2 linked regions of the Lytechinus pictus genome follow. The protein of the gene in region 1 binds, or shares a complex with, the protein of each later gene. Links are inferred from orthologs where the notes say so. Each region holds a gene or a part of one and is shown on either strand. Other genes may lie near its edges.

What was found. The genes of interacting proteins can lie anywhere in the genome.
Region 2: integrator complex subunit 1-like (region 1) and integrator complex subunit 6-A-like share a complex: the UniProt entries of both Homo sapiens proteins name them as parts of the integrator complex. The link is inferred for Lytechinus pictus from reciprocal best matches to the Homo sapiens genes INTS1 and INTS6.

What each region holds. Positions count from the first base shown.
Region 1 is NC_087254.1:32,366,179-32,373,780, reverse strand, and holds the start of integrator complex subunit 1-like, read left to right. Parts: upstream 1-4,433; 5' UTR 4,434-4,520; coding exon 4,521-4,566; intron 4,567-7,405; coding exon 7,406-7,602. UniProt on the Homo sapiens protein: Component of the integrator complex, a multiprotein complex that terminates RNA polymerase II (Pol II) transcription in the promoter-proximal region of genes.
Region 2 is NC_087260.1:11,487,909-11,495,691, forward strand, and holds the start of integrator complex subunit 6-A-like, read right to left. Parts: upstream 3,376-7,783; 5' UTR 3,197-3,375; coding exon 3,086-3,196; intron 2,873-3,085; coding exon 2,795-2,872; intron 1,207-2,794; coding exon 1,057-1,206; intron 1-1,056. UniProt on the Homo sapiens protein: Component of the integrator complex, a multiprotein complex that terminates RNA polymerase II (Pol II) transcription in the promoter-proximal region of genes.

The DNA of each region.
Region 1 (7,602 bases):
AACTTAAAATGAATAACCAAATCCAACCAATCATTATCGATTGGGCAGTGTTGTTTTTCTAGAAAAATAAATGAATAAGTAAAATTTTATCTTTGTGATCACTGGATATCATGCGCACTAGCATTATTTGATTTGTCAAGTATCTATTCTCTTCGTGTATTCCATAAAGTTCTCAAAATATCCCTTTTCAGGTCTGATTGTCAGCGCTGTGCGCTCGCATTTTGATTGGCGAGTTTTGTACGTCTATATTAATTTCGTGGGGAGGGGGGCTTCGCGGGATAGCCGCATATGGTTATTATCATTGTTGCTGTCATCTTAATCATCATCATCATCACATCATTAACCCTAGTACTTGTATACTACTACTACTACTACTACTACTACTACTACTACTACTACTACTACTACTACTATACTACTACTACCACTACTACTACTACTATTATATTATTACTACTATTACTACTACTATATATTTCTAATACTACTACCACTTATACTACTACTACACCATTAGCATTGTCATCACCACCAAATCTCAAATAATTTTATGACCGTCATCTTGATGATATACTGCTTCAGTGTACACTAATATTTTAGTCTCCTTTGACGACATCCATGCACCATGCATGCTTGAAGCTTCTAATGGTTTTGAATATTGAAGGGGTTTTAATTTTACGATAACACTGTCTGTATATTGAAGTGCCTTTTAAGGTGCGTCTCCTGGAACAAAAGTTAGCAACCACACGAATAATATTTCAAAACTCCTTTCTACCTTACAAAATTCGTGACTAGCTAGTTCGATTTGATGGCAATTTTAGCGTCATATAATGTCATTAGGAGAACCTTTTTTGTAGAAACTTCAAGGATGCCATGCACTTAGCGAAATTGAGCAAGAAAAAAAAACATCTGGTTTGGAATTAATTGTACACTTTTCACTATTCTTTTGGCGTTTTTTTTTTTTTTTTTTTTTTTGGGGGGGGGGGGGGGGGGACTCCATCAGCATGGATACTGCACGTAGCCCTCACCCCCTTCCCCCTCAGATATGCAAGTGGTAACAACATAGAGTAAAAGAAACATATTGCTGAAAAGAAAGATTTTGAATAGTCTTTAAGATTATATTGGAAGATGATGCAACATTCAAAATTTGGAATGAAATTAATATTTGAAATATATATCAAATTGTTATGGAATTAATGTGATTTTAAGTCTCCTATAAACGGATGAAATTGTAAGGTTTTTTTTTTAAAAATCGGTGTCCTAACTTGCCTCCGTGTTTCATAAACGACATTGATTTGGTTAGTCAGCAGTAACTCATCGTACACTTAACTTAAGTATAGAGTATGCCTGTATTTTTGTATAAATTATCCCCCGCTTCCAAATATGCTAGACTGGTATGACTTCCCCAACATTCACGCCAGTGTATTCAAAGGATGTTTTGATTGGTTTATGATCAGTTATAACCATATCAAAAAATCATTTGAATCATAAAATTCATATGCATATATACTCTCATGATGCAGGGGATATAACATTTGCAATATGCTAAACGTATGGATTTGTCATGGCCAAAATATTGTAAGATTAGATTGAGCGCGGGAGCATAGCAACCGCGCGAGAAATTGGCATTTTTAGAATGCAAAACTGGGCAAATAAGCACTTTGGTCACATTTAAAGATGAATCCACACATTAACAGTAGTATTAATCACTTGATGATTTAAAAAAAAAAAATCGTTTCTGTTTTGAAAAGTGGGGAGGGGGAAGACTGTGACTGCATGCCACCCCCTCTCCGGAATGTGGGGGTTGTATCCCCATCACCCCCCCCCCCCCGGGGATTTACGCCCGTGGAATATACAAAAAGGCTTGTGTTTTTCATCAGGAGGTGGCTCAAGGTTTGGGCAGTATAGTGCATAATATGATTATAGCGTACACTATGGTGGGCAACATATACTGTCCACTGTGTTGGGTAATGTATGTTGGTAAATATATATATATATATTCTGGGCAATTATTATCCAATTGAGCAATTTATTACCCAATTGTTAGTTTTTATTACCCAATTTGGACAGATTTTAACCAATAGTTGTGTGGACAGTATGTTGCCCAGTGATGGTTAAAAATTGGGCCTTGTTTTGCCCAACATTTTTAAGAGTATATTTGGTGATGAACGTCTTTTTATCTTTTTATGACTCGATCGCCATCTATATTATCTCCAAACAAGCGAATAGATTGACGCCCATGCAACAAAGTAATAAACAAAATCGAAGCTTAATTACATCCTTAAAGGTAACAGGATGGCTTTTTCAAATATCGTATTAAATATAATTTCAAATCGTGAATGTTTGTGGATTTTAGCACAACATAATTTTCATCCAACTCTAATGTTATTCAAACATAAGTTACTGTGTAAATTAATAGTTAAAATAGTTAGTTGTAATGAACATTCTTACCAACACCCCAGAGCGGCAAATAAAAGTGACTGATAAACTCCCACTCGGTGTCGATCTAAAGTTATTGTCACGGCGGTTGTATCAACATTTTGCACATTGCTCAGTTATATATACAGCCACATCAAAAATTTAGTTTATCACATGATCACCAAGAAAATATTTCACAACACAACCAAGCACCAATGGTAGGATGTTTTCCAATCTACTTAATACACGGTTAATAAAAATCATCCTCTTTACATAGCTTAATATGATTTTCTTTACAATGACGCACGCTTAACTCGTGGCGTATATACGTTGAACTGACATTATTATTATATTACCCACGCTCAAAAACATCCACGACAGAGAAGAAAGGTTAAAAATCATGATGATATGGTATCGTGAATTATAAGAAAGAACTGTATTGGCCCCAAAAAACAATATAGGAGATTCATTTTGTCATAATTGGGGGTTATCCAAATACGATATTTTTCAACAGAGTCAAAATTCGGATAGGGGTGCGCAGTAAATAATATTGAAGCCCAGTTGGGGTACAGGCTTTAATTTGCCAAAACTGTTATTCGAGCACTGAATCTTCAAGGGCGTAGGCTGGTTTGAGCATAGTGAGGTGGAACCGGGGGGGGGGGGGGGACTAAAGGTTGGAAATTCAGCTGTTGAAAGCAGAAGGGGTAAAACAATTGTTTTGCTTGCCAGTGTCGGAACTCCTCTGCCTCAGAGGGAGAGTGCTCGACCACCCAATGCACTCCAGCCTACGCCCTTAATCTTTAATTTAGAGCAATGTTTCTTTTATCTTTTCTAGGAGGATAGTTAAAGTGGTTTTGAGATGTACATAGTAGAAATGCCGTTTTGTCACTGCCCCAAATCACTATAATAGAGTCAAAGTAGGGGTAGGATACCTTCGACAGGCCGGCCCGGCTCCTGTCACGTTAGGCTGTGAGCCAGCTGTGAGATACCAAAACTTATTTCCATGTAACCTGCATATAGCAATATCTCCTTCAAGTTTTTCAAGAGGTTTTATAAAAATTATAAAAAGTTGCTTTACTTATCCAAGCCACTGGCGGACTTTGAGAAGCAAAATTATTTTTTTTAATCTAAAAATGGCATTAAAACAAAAGTGTGCCCCCCCCCCTTCGAAAGTGAAGGCCTTTTTTTTTTTTTTTTTTTTTTTTTTTGCTTGTAAAAATTTTTCGGCGACGAAATATCATTAAGTTTTAGTGGTTAAAAACCCCCTTTTCTTTTGCGTATAACAAATTTTCCCTCGAGAAAATGTGACCCCCCCCCCTTTTGGAAAATGCTGGATCTGCCCCTGATCCAAGCTATGTTCTTGAATTGTATACCAACGATCTCGTTGGTTTCATTGGTGTGACTACAACGAAAAGGTTGATCAATTATTGGGGGTTCATTTTAGCACAATAACGAGTAATAAGGGGTCTACTGACGCATTTGCCCTCCATCTAAGCAATTTATATACTGTTATGTCATGAAGCGTGTCAATATGAATCTCGTTTGTCGAAAACTGATTGTCCATTCGGTTGCTGATGTTCATGATAAAACAAATAACAAAGTTTTGACCAAAAACATGGACATTTTGGCTCAAATTTTCCCCTTTTTATCGAAATCTATCACCTGACTGTTAAGAAAACTATTTAAAACAATTTATACTTTCAAAATCATAGCGAAACTTAATTCATTTACAATATTTCCACAGTCTGGCCTGGGTAAAAAAATGAAAATCAATCCAAGATGGCTTGAAAACTACAAATTTTGAACCCACCGTGGGACAAGGCAAGGAAACATCAAAATTCATTAACTAAACACTTCAAAAATTCGTTAAAAAATACGTTCTCCGATACAGGCGATTGTGCATCTCCCGGGGCATCTCCGACTCTTGTCTGCAATACCAAAGCTGGCTCTGGCCTGGCCCAGTCGAGTCTGGGTTGTTATTTTTTCCATGTACCTTTTTCATTTGAGGATACTGTACCCATTCGTAAATTGAGAGTTCTGTTCGAGAAGACAGCATGTGAAACTCTGTGATTTTCCACAAATTTAAAGGAATCTGTTAACATATGGAGAGGGGGAAACTGCCCCCTAAGAAGCCCCCGATTCGGCGAGGTAATAAATATCGTACAATTATACAGAAATCGTCTATTTTATGTTATTTATTTGTCATTTTATATCCTGATTTATTGAACTACCGTCGTGGGCAACGCGTGCGTGGACGTGGTAAAGCGGGAACAATGAAGATGCACTGCATTAGCAGCGGGTGTACCGTCCACGTCCAAGAGGCAAGAGATCTAAAGTAAAACCGAGAAGTGCGGCGCGAATCAGTGCTGTAGCGATGCCAAACCGGCCGCGCGTTTGCATCGGTATGCTCTGCCCCCGTGTAAAACATGGTCTCAGAAAACTCTTTTCCAGTCTTTAAATATTCATTCAGTAACACTCTGACCCACAAATATCCGCAGATTATCAAATTAAAATACGAAATTCTCACTTTACATTCTGATTTGAGGTTAGAATCGCCAGATATTTTGCACTTGAAATGTGTCATTGAAACCTGCCTGATCGGACGATGCGCGCGACCATTTTGAATCGCAGAAGCCCGAAGTGGAAAGTACTGCTCCTGTCATAATCATGTGACACACAAGATTTTGACTTACACCAGTGTTTGTGGCAAATTGAATCGTTAGCTTAGTACTTTTGCTCTGAAATTATGTCTAAAAAATCCGATTTTTTTTTTTTTGCATTTTGATATCATGATAATGATATGTTGAGATTTTGTTGATATGGTGATTTGATGATGACATGAATGTTTTGACCCCTTTATCGTACCCCTACACATGAAAAACCAAAAAAATCCCAGCATCATAAGATTCTTTGAATTCTAAGCTTTGTAATGATGCCAAACTTGTTACCAATTAGTAAACCGCGAAATACCGCCAGCGGGAAAGACTGGGGCTTGCACTGTCCTCAATCTGGAAAATTTAGGGTCAATGCGGATACTGTAGTTTGTTGAGTAGGGGTGATTGGTTTTTGGTGATTATGTAACAGATATTGATGGACCTTTGTTGCCCTTTTAAATCCTGATTATGGCCCAAGACCCCATCTTTTTTTTGCCCAATTTACTATAGATCTTTGTTTACCCCTTCCATAATTTGCCCCAGGCCCCTGCGTGGCATTACAACCCGCCCCCTCACCCATAATTGCCATTACTCACCCGACCCAATTTTTTTTTCTTGGGGGGGGGGGGCCCTATGTTACACGTACCCCAAACATTACTGGCCCTTGCCCCGACCCCATTTTTTTGGCTACCTTTACTCGTCCAACCTCACCGGTCCATGCCCCCCCATCCCGACCTAATTTTTTTTTTCTAGCTACCTTTCAGTCGTCCAACATTACTGGCCCCTCCCCCTATCATGACCTTATTTTTTTTTAGCTACCTTGACCTTTGTCCAACCCTACCGGCCCCTGGCATAAATTTTTTGAGGGTAATAATGGATGCAGCTGGGCAAGTACCTCTGCTCTTGACTTGTTAATTACATATTTATCTCATTTGCATATTTACTATTTTTTGTAGAAGATAATATTCTATGAATTTGTTCTTGTGCAATTGAACATCATATCATTGATTATACTTGTATCCAATTTATTTGTAATGAAATGGACCATACACAAGAACAAACATCATTGTAAAATATACAATATGTATACTACATGTATATTGCGTCATCTCATTTGCATATGCATTTAAATTTGCATATTTTAATACATGTATCTTGTTTGAATTATATATTATACTAGTTTTTAATCAAGGAATGGGCCACTTGACATATTGTTGGTGGTTAATTACATCATACATGTAGTTTGAATAGAAATATTTTTAACATACATGTAGGTTTACAATATGCGTATCATTGCATCACACCCTCATTTACATATAGGATCTTTGGCATTTTAAATTTGCATATTTAACTATATGAAACACTGTTTTTTTAATAGTTTATATTGGTTTAATCAAAGAATGGGCCAATTGACATTTTGGTGGTTAATTGCCTCAAAATCACTAGCATGGGTGAAATTACAAAGGCAAATACACATTCCGCATGAGCAAGAGACATTTTTAATGATATGCGTGCATATTTAATTAGATATTTGCCTTATTTGCATAAATTAAGAAAAAACGTAGTCTTATTGCGAAGAGCAGGTCACAAGCTTCAAAATGAATGGTCACAACATATGTAAACAGTAAATATTTTAAATGATGTGGCATCGCTATCAGTGGAGCACTGCCACTCTCCATAGCTCAAACGTCAAAGTATTCTTAAAACGATCGTATCAGATCTCTTTTCTTATTGTGTATCATTTCTCTATGAGAAAGGAACACAAGTTGAGTTATGCTCCAGCTGGAGCTTAAATTCAAGTCAAGTGAATTGAAAGAAGGAAGAAATGAAAAGAATTAAAAAAGGATAAAAATAACTTTATTTCTCCCTTCTTGACTTACTATTAAGAACCAATAAAAGAATGAAGAAAGAAAAGGAGAAAAAATAAATAAACAAGTGAATGAATCTAAGGGAAAAAAAGAATGGAAAAAAAATTAAAAGAAGGCAGAAAAAATGAAAGAAAGAAATAAAGACAGAGAGATAGAAAACTGGAAAAAAGAAAGAAAGAAAAATAGAGACAAAAAAATATATGCAAGAAAAAGTAAAAGAAGGGAAAAAAACTAAAAAAGGAAAGTAAAATAAAGAATGATTGAAACTGAAAGTAAATGAAGGCAGAAGAATTAAAAGAAGGAAGAGGGATAGAGTAAGTATGGTGGTGTTTAATTGATAAGTACCCCCTCCCCATTCTGGCTGGTGCTGCCACCCCACCCCACTACTCTAGAGTGTAACTTGCTCAAACGTGAAAGTTGCTTGTTAAGAAAGCTTTTTTAATGTTCATTTTGCTTTGTAACTAGGCCTACCGTTGCCCGACAAGATCATCCCCCTGGGGAGTAAAGGCCGCCCTGAACAGGATCAAAAGCCCACCCCTTCAGTCTATCCTGACCGCAAGAGGGAGGCCAGCGCACCCCTGCCGAGCCATGTGATACCCCCCAAGACCAAGCTGGTAGGCTTAACACCCCTTGGAAGGGCTGGTCCTGAGATCAGTAGACCA
Region 2 (7,783 bases), on another chromosome or scaffold:
GTTGATTGGGCAACTGTTAATTTTTTTTTTCTTTTTACTAACAGGAACAAACCACCCCTTTCCATTTTCGAGACAAGGAAAAATCCGACAAATTAATAGAAAAAGGGAACTCTGACAAAACTACATGCATTACTGCATTTACAATTGTAACCTACCAACTTACAACCAACAATAAGTTGCCCAAAATTAATTTAGAGGTTTGTATTGAGCTTTAAAAAGCACATCCTAAGAGCTCTCAAAAATGATAACTTTGTCAAAACCGATCAACAATATTAAACCCACACAAGTATCTGATTGAGTGTAGAAGAAACTCAATGGCCCAAATTCACAAAGGTGGTTTTGAAAACCCATGGTTGAGTCCATGGTTTATGCATTATTTTACCGTGTATATTAAAAAATGTCAAATGCTGATGCGCGCTTTTGTCACAGTGCGCCAAATTGATGCCTGTTGCCGTGGTTATCCACGCTATTTTATTCATGAGTCCACTCTTCAAACAGTGGACTCATGAATAAAATAGTGTATCTAACAATGTTAACAGGCGTCAATTGGCGCACTGTGACAAAAGCGCGCATCAGCATCGGACATTTTTTTTAACACGCTAAATTAAGCGTAATTTATACAGGAAATCTGCATAAGCCATGGATTCAACCATGGGTTTTAAAAACCACCTTTTTGAATTCGGGCCAATGAGAGCTTCAAAGAATGAGAACACTAGGTCTGAAGTTTGGGATTCACTCAAGCATGAGATGTGCACATTGTGCAATTTAAGTGAAACTTCCAAGCAGTCCGAAGAATAAATGGTGTCAAAGAAAGCTAAGAAACTCTTGTATCTCGTCTTATTTACTTGTGCAAAAGGAGAATTACTCTTTCAGAGAGAAGTTAATTCTGAAATTTCAACATTTTGAAGAACAAATTGTTTTTACTGAGAACCTTTCCTGGCCACGTATTAATGGTTTGGGGGTGTGTGGCTGATCACAATTGTTTGAGAACCAAGGTTTCGTTACAAAAAATCCTGGCACTTGGCCACCAGGCAACTTTGAAAACAGCTTTAATACCTGGCCATAGTTGTCAATTCCAGAGTAGAGACGGTTGACATTCAGAAGGTCAAAGGTCATCTTGAGGGCATGACCCAAGTTTGTGAGACCGGTGGCCTGAAGGTTCTTCAGCTCAGTCATGAAGACTGCAGGATTCTCCTTCCAGCCAGCCTAAATTATCATAAAAATAACATTAAAAATCATTAGGTGTAAATAATTGCCCATGCCTGCATTGAAAGGGAAAGTTTAGCCTGACAAAAAGTTTATTGCAAAAATAGAAGAAAAGAATAAAAATAAAAAAAATATTGGCAAAGGTTTGAGAAAAATCCACCTAAGATTAATATTACAATTTTTTGGGATTTGGGACATCGTAGTATGCAAGGCTTTGCAAGCAGCTTCCCCATTTAAAATGTAATAAAAGAAAAATCTATGAAATGTCATTTTCTAAAAAAAAAAGAGAAAAAGAATGAAAATGTTTTTGGAATTTCTGTATATCACCAAATAAATTATTTCTGGGATAGCGTTGAAGCTGCTGAAATGGATTACTCTTCAAGGTTCACACCCAATCCTGATGGAATTAAAAAAAACAGTAATCATGAACCATTATTTAAAAAAAGGAGCAAAATTACGCATTTTATAGCAAATAACGTATTGGGCTCCTGCTTTTATGATTTCACAAATAAAAAACTTAAAAATTCTAATATTTTTCTTATAAATCTTCGGATTTCCCTCAAACCCTTTACCAGTATTTATTTTTTCTGCTTTTTTACAATAAACTTTCGTCAGGGTGAACTTCCCCTATTTCAGGATCTTAAATTCTATATTTAAAAAAAAATGTCTTTCCTTCATGGTTCGATCAGTGGTGAAGAAAACTATTATAGCTATTACTCCTAACATTAGGGCTTATTCCCACTTACCATATCGATGCGCCCCCACACAAATAAAATCACTTTCAATTTGAGAAAAAAATCACACAAAAAAACATAACTTTGTCATTTTTTTCACAATCCTTCACCATTATTTTTATCTCTTTCTTTTGCTCTCAAAAGTTATAAATAAAATCAACTTTTTGAAAAGAACATGCATACCATACGTACCCTATGGCTATGCCATGGCTCTAACTTCTAAGACTATGACTATGGTTGAATGTTGATTGTGTTGATAGATTGATTCTCAAATGTTTGGGATTTTTGTCACATTTGGCTACCCATACATGTAAATAAAACCACAACTAAAAGTGAAAAACTAACACAAATTTATTTATTGATCATATTAATATATATAGAAACTTTTAAACATTACCTCAAAACATTTCTGTTCAATTCTTCTTAATTTATTTTATAATTTCCTAAAAAGCGCCTTGAGCACTCTACAGAGTGGATTTGGCGCGATATAAGTCTAATTATTATTATTATTAAATATTATTATATGGCAGGTATACTCATTGAATCCACAAGTGTCTGCATGCATTGTCTCATTAATGTCTGCTAACTTCAGCTCAGCTCATGAATATTGATCGTTGTTGATCTTTTATGATCGATATCCTGACGTGACCCACAATTTTAGTCTGAAACAAGATGGACGTTTGTGTGGAGGAAGTACATCTGGTGCTAAGTTTCATGCAATATTTTGCGAATCTACCACCCAGAACGACATGAACCCAACATTATTTCGTGGGGGAAGTGTTGAAGAATCGCGATCTCGCAAATAAATGACTATAATTTATGACAAACGAGAAAAATCAAGGACCTTATAGTACCTTTATTGTAGCCGGGGACTCATCGCACGTCACCAGCATGTAGCGATCCGTGCGGCTGGCTTGGTCTCGAAGGCGAAGCTAACGTTACAACATGAGAAAAACAAAAGAATTTCACAGTATGAATGTTTAAAATGAACAACAATACATCTAAAAAAAATTAGTATGATCATTTAATAATATCAACAACAGCATCATATATCGTAAGCAACCCAATCTATCATTCTTTCGTAAAAAGAAAGTCACTGAACTTCATAAAAAAAAATCGATCACCCAAAATGCATTGCAGTTTACCTTCATGAATGTCTCGACAGCTCCCTTTGCAATATCCAAGAGTGATGTGCCCAAATGTGTCCTCTGATTCATCGAAGCACTGGTGTCTATTAGAAAAACTAGCACCGGCATCTTGTTCCTTATTAATTTATCTATCTCTCATGCCAAAACTGTGTAGAAATATCGCCTACGAGGCCCAAAATAAGAGATTTGATTCCCTTTCCTCCTTTTTGGCAGCTTCGCGAGAGCTGCCGATTTTAGCAGCAGCGAAAACCCATCGCGCAAAAAATAAATGTACGGAAAATTATCGCAGCGCAGCCCTAGTCACGTGACAACTTGGTGATTGGTCAACGTCATAGAGATGTATACTAGTAACGCTAGAGGGCGTACTTCGTCAAATCGCTGTGATTACGTGGAGACCGTCCGCCATTGCTCGATAGGTATTCGCAGCCTGCCATGAGCGTACAGTACCTATGGGGCATGTACACGGATGAGCACAGAACATGACAAATTGATGACATATGAGCACGAAAGCATATGGAAAAGCAAAATTGTAAATATTGCACTGGATTAAAGTTCAAATACAACAAAAATCTAGCAAAACTGAGGTCAAAAGGCCTATATAGGCCTATCTATAGCGCATAATATAGGCCGATACAGCTATAATACAGGCAAACGATTTAAAGTCCCAATTGTTTTTGCTTAGGTAAAATTTCGATACATTAATATGACTTCTATTTTCTAATGATTTGGAAGAGATGAATATCAAAAATAACATTTAGGCCTAGGTCCTGATAAATAAATTTAATGTGTTTTAATATGATTTGATGTACATTAACCTAAGAAAATTCATAGGCCATATCACAGTGTCTGATGCATCTGAGACGCTGTATCGAAAAAAAAACCACGATTGTATTTTTATAGTTCATAGTTTCACTATTATGCTGATTGCTGATAATTTATTTCTTCACTTTAGATAATTGTTATAATTCATTTTCCATATATATCTACACAATAGGGCCTATAATAACTCGATCCCTTTTCCCCATGTCTTACACGCTGATGTAAACCAACATCACAAAAACTCGCGAATCATAAAATGACTTTTTATTGATATTTGGAAATGATTTACGCATTGATTCAGTTAAAAATTGATGATTTAGATTTCCTTTGCTGGCAACCATCCCATCATATTTATAAATATGTATATAAAAGTATACTTTCTTACTTGCGATCAATGTATAGAAAAGTTTGTTGACAGCAAAATTTGCATATCAAATGCGCGCATGCAGTCGTACAATTTTGCAATGTACAGGAGGCCTAATGGGGGGTTGGATGTTTATGTACAGTGTTATTGCCTTGCAAACATTTTAAAACTTCGGAGAGTAAACAAATCACAATGCGCAAAACAATTTTACTTTGATTTTCTGGAAAGTATAGACTTGATTCTCCCCGGCTGAAAATACGCTGATCGGCAAACTGGCTGAAATATTTTGTTTATCGCCGTTGTTTCTGATCCTATATATAATGATTGGACCAATATCATGTGAACAAATCAAGGATAGAATAATAAGGAGAGGAAGAAGGGGGAGAAGGAGAGAAGAAAAGGGGCGGGATTATGATATATAATTTGTATTATACTATAAAGAATATTATTACTACTGCAAGAGTGTATAAAACTAATATCATGAAAGACATCAATGCAAACTTATCATAATTATGAAAACGGTTGCAAAATTGTGAGTACTAAAACCAAACATAATTATGAAACAATAATATTGCAAAAGTGACAATACTTGGAATAAGATATTAAAAATCCTAATTTAATCTCAAATTTGATACCTGCCTTGAAATTGTGTTAATTAACTGTGTCTGTGTCGCTTGAATAAATGAACTTTATGGCAAATATTTGTAAGCACTGGCACCGGCCTAACATATAAACAGATAAACACGCGTTTTGAATATCCAGTTTTGTTTTTCATTTTAAAAGTATAACTGAATTTGATTTTCTAGTTTTCTTCCTTTAATGTCATTTGCTGGCCTATGGACCTGAGTTTGGTTATTCGATCAGTTTTTTTTAAATAAGATTTCCATGGATGAACAAAATTATTATATTATGTTAATTACGGCGTCGCGGAATGATTTTGAAAGTGATGGGGTGCATAAAATCACAATCATTTATTATGTGTAATGTTCATTTTCATTTCAGGGAGGGGTCCGGTCGCGCCCCCTGTATTTTATTTTGATCAGTATGTTAAAGCGAATTTGCTTAGGTGTGTTTGTTATTTTAATTGCACACACGGCCCCTAAAAAGCGAATTAAAACAAATCTAACTTAAAGTGAAGGGAATTAAAACTGTCATTTTTGAAAAGTTTGAACAAATTAGGCTATATTCTCGACATTTTAAATCAATATTTTATTTTCGGGCCATATAGGCCTGCAGATTTGGGGGAATTTATTATGTTCCTATAAGAACAAAATCAGCACGTTCACCAAATAACACAAATTTCAACATTGATGGTGTAACGGGAGGCTCACCAAGAACAATAATGAGATGCCCTTTAATAGCGCATGTAGATCAAAACACTAACTTATACAGAATTATTGTACAACTTAATATATAAAAATGATAGGCCTATATTTCATACAAATTAAAGCAAGTTACATATCATGTAGGCCTATATAGAAATTACAAAATTATATCCAACATAAACATAGAATCAAAGGACGTAAATGTGGGAAGGATGGAAGGAGGACGATGCAGTTAAAGGTAGGGAAATCCAGAGAAGGGCTAATTCACTGCAGTCTTTTGAATTAATTGTCAATCTTTCTATTAATGTCCGCTGTATGTTTTTATTTTTATATGATTGTTTATATGATAGTATATCAACATTGTTATCTATTACAGGCCTATAAACGGACAGGTAAATGCAAATTATTTAGAATTTCATCCCGAGAAATCAGGTTTTTAAAATGCCAAATTAATAGCATAATCCCCATGTAATCACTCTAATAGTGTATTGAGATGCAATTTGTCATTCATATTTTCGATTTTTATGAGGTTGTGTTCTTTTCTTCAAGAAAAAGGCCGGAGACGGCACCCCTTTTCACAGCGTTACAACGCACGAGCTATGGGTACATCCGGGTACTTTTGCGAATCTATACCTATCGAGCAATGGCCGCCACGCTCCACACAATCACAGACGTTAAGTACGCGCGCCTATGGCGACTCCGCACTCTAGCGTAGTTAGTATACATCTCTATGGTCAACGTCAATCTCTCTAGTTTGCATATGATTACAATAAGAAAAGACGTTACTAAAAATACATGTACTGTACTACCGCAAGCGAAGAAAATAATAAACATCATTGAATTTGCAAGATAGCTTGCTTGACAAAAACAGAACAAGTATACTCGCTACACCCACAGCTGAGCTCGAATTAAGAAAGGGAAGGCCATTAATACTAGTATAGGGAAAGGGAAGGAGGTATGCTCCCTCAGTGCTCCCCTCACGAGGATCGGGGGGGGGGGGGGGGGGGGGGGTCGCGACCTGGCCATTAAAATGGCATATCAATTTTATATACGTAATTAGTATTTTTGTTATGGGACACGTGCACTAGATAACCGTAAGGCAACGTATATTCTTTTCAGGGGCATACAATATTCTTGTTTTGGCGTAAATTCTACCAATAAGCATGAGAAGGGCGGGCCATATATGCATTATAATTATAATACCTTAAATAGGGACCGATATTGCCTATGAATGAGAGAAGATTTAAAAAGGTGCATGGGGGCGTTTGCCCCCTCCCCAATTCAGGAGTGTTCCTCAGTATGTTGCCTCACCGGCCCAGACAATTAAAAAATTGAAAAAAAAATAATAATGCTGCCGCAATACTCAAGCTGTAAAGTGTTCCACTAATAAACAGCATTTTAATTCTAACAATTTTCATCCACCCGCTCTCTCGCCAAGTCAGGCTGTCGTCACTGTCGTTGCAGAGAGCTCGGAAAGTTGTATAATATTAATGTACAAACTGACCACTAGCGTACCTACGGGAAAAATCCTAGGTACGCCACTGAAACTGACCATGTAAAAGTCCAGTCGATGCACCCAAGAAAAATGTCGATTTGAATTAGTAGAGAAAAATCAAACAAGGCAGCGTAATAACGGAAATTTCATCGCCATCGGATGTCTAATAAGAAAGTTATGATATTCTCTGAAGTTTTGCTTATTTTTCAGAAAAAAATTACATGCATTATTCAGTGATATCTAAATCGATGATGTTCCCCACTCACTATTTCTTTGTCAGTTTTTATTGTTTTAAAGATAGATTTAAAGGGCCAACTTGACTGAACCACAAAATGTTAAAACAATGCTATACACTCATTTTCAGAGAGATATAAACCTTTGCTTCACACTGACAATCATGACGGGAGAAGATTAAAATATTACATATTTCATATATAATAAAATACTAAAGAAATAGTGAGTGGGTGATGTCATCCGCCCCCTCATTTGCATACTGACCATGCAGGATGTAATTATAACTGTTTGGATAAATTAAATAAAACTTTAAAATGTCATAACTTTCTTCCGTTTTAAAATGATATCGGAAATTTTCGGTGATTTGCTCGTTTGATTGTTATTTTCTCTGTTTATTCGAATCGAATTTATTGGGGTGGGCTTATCCTTTAACGATTAAAGTGAACAATTTGATTTGT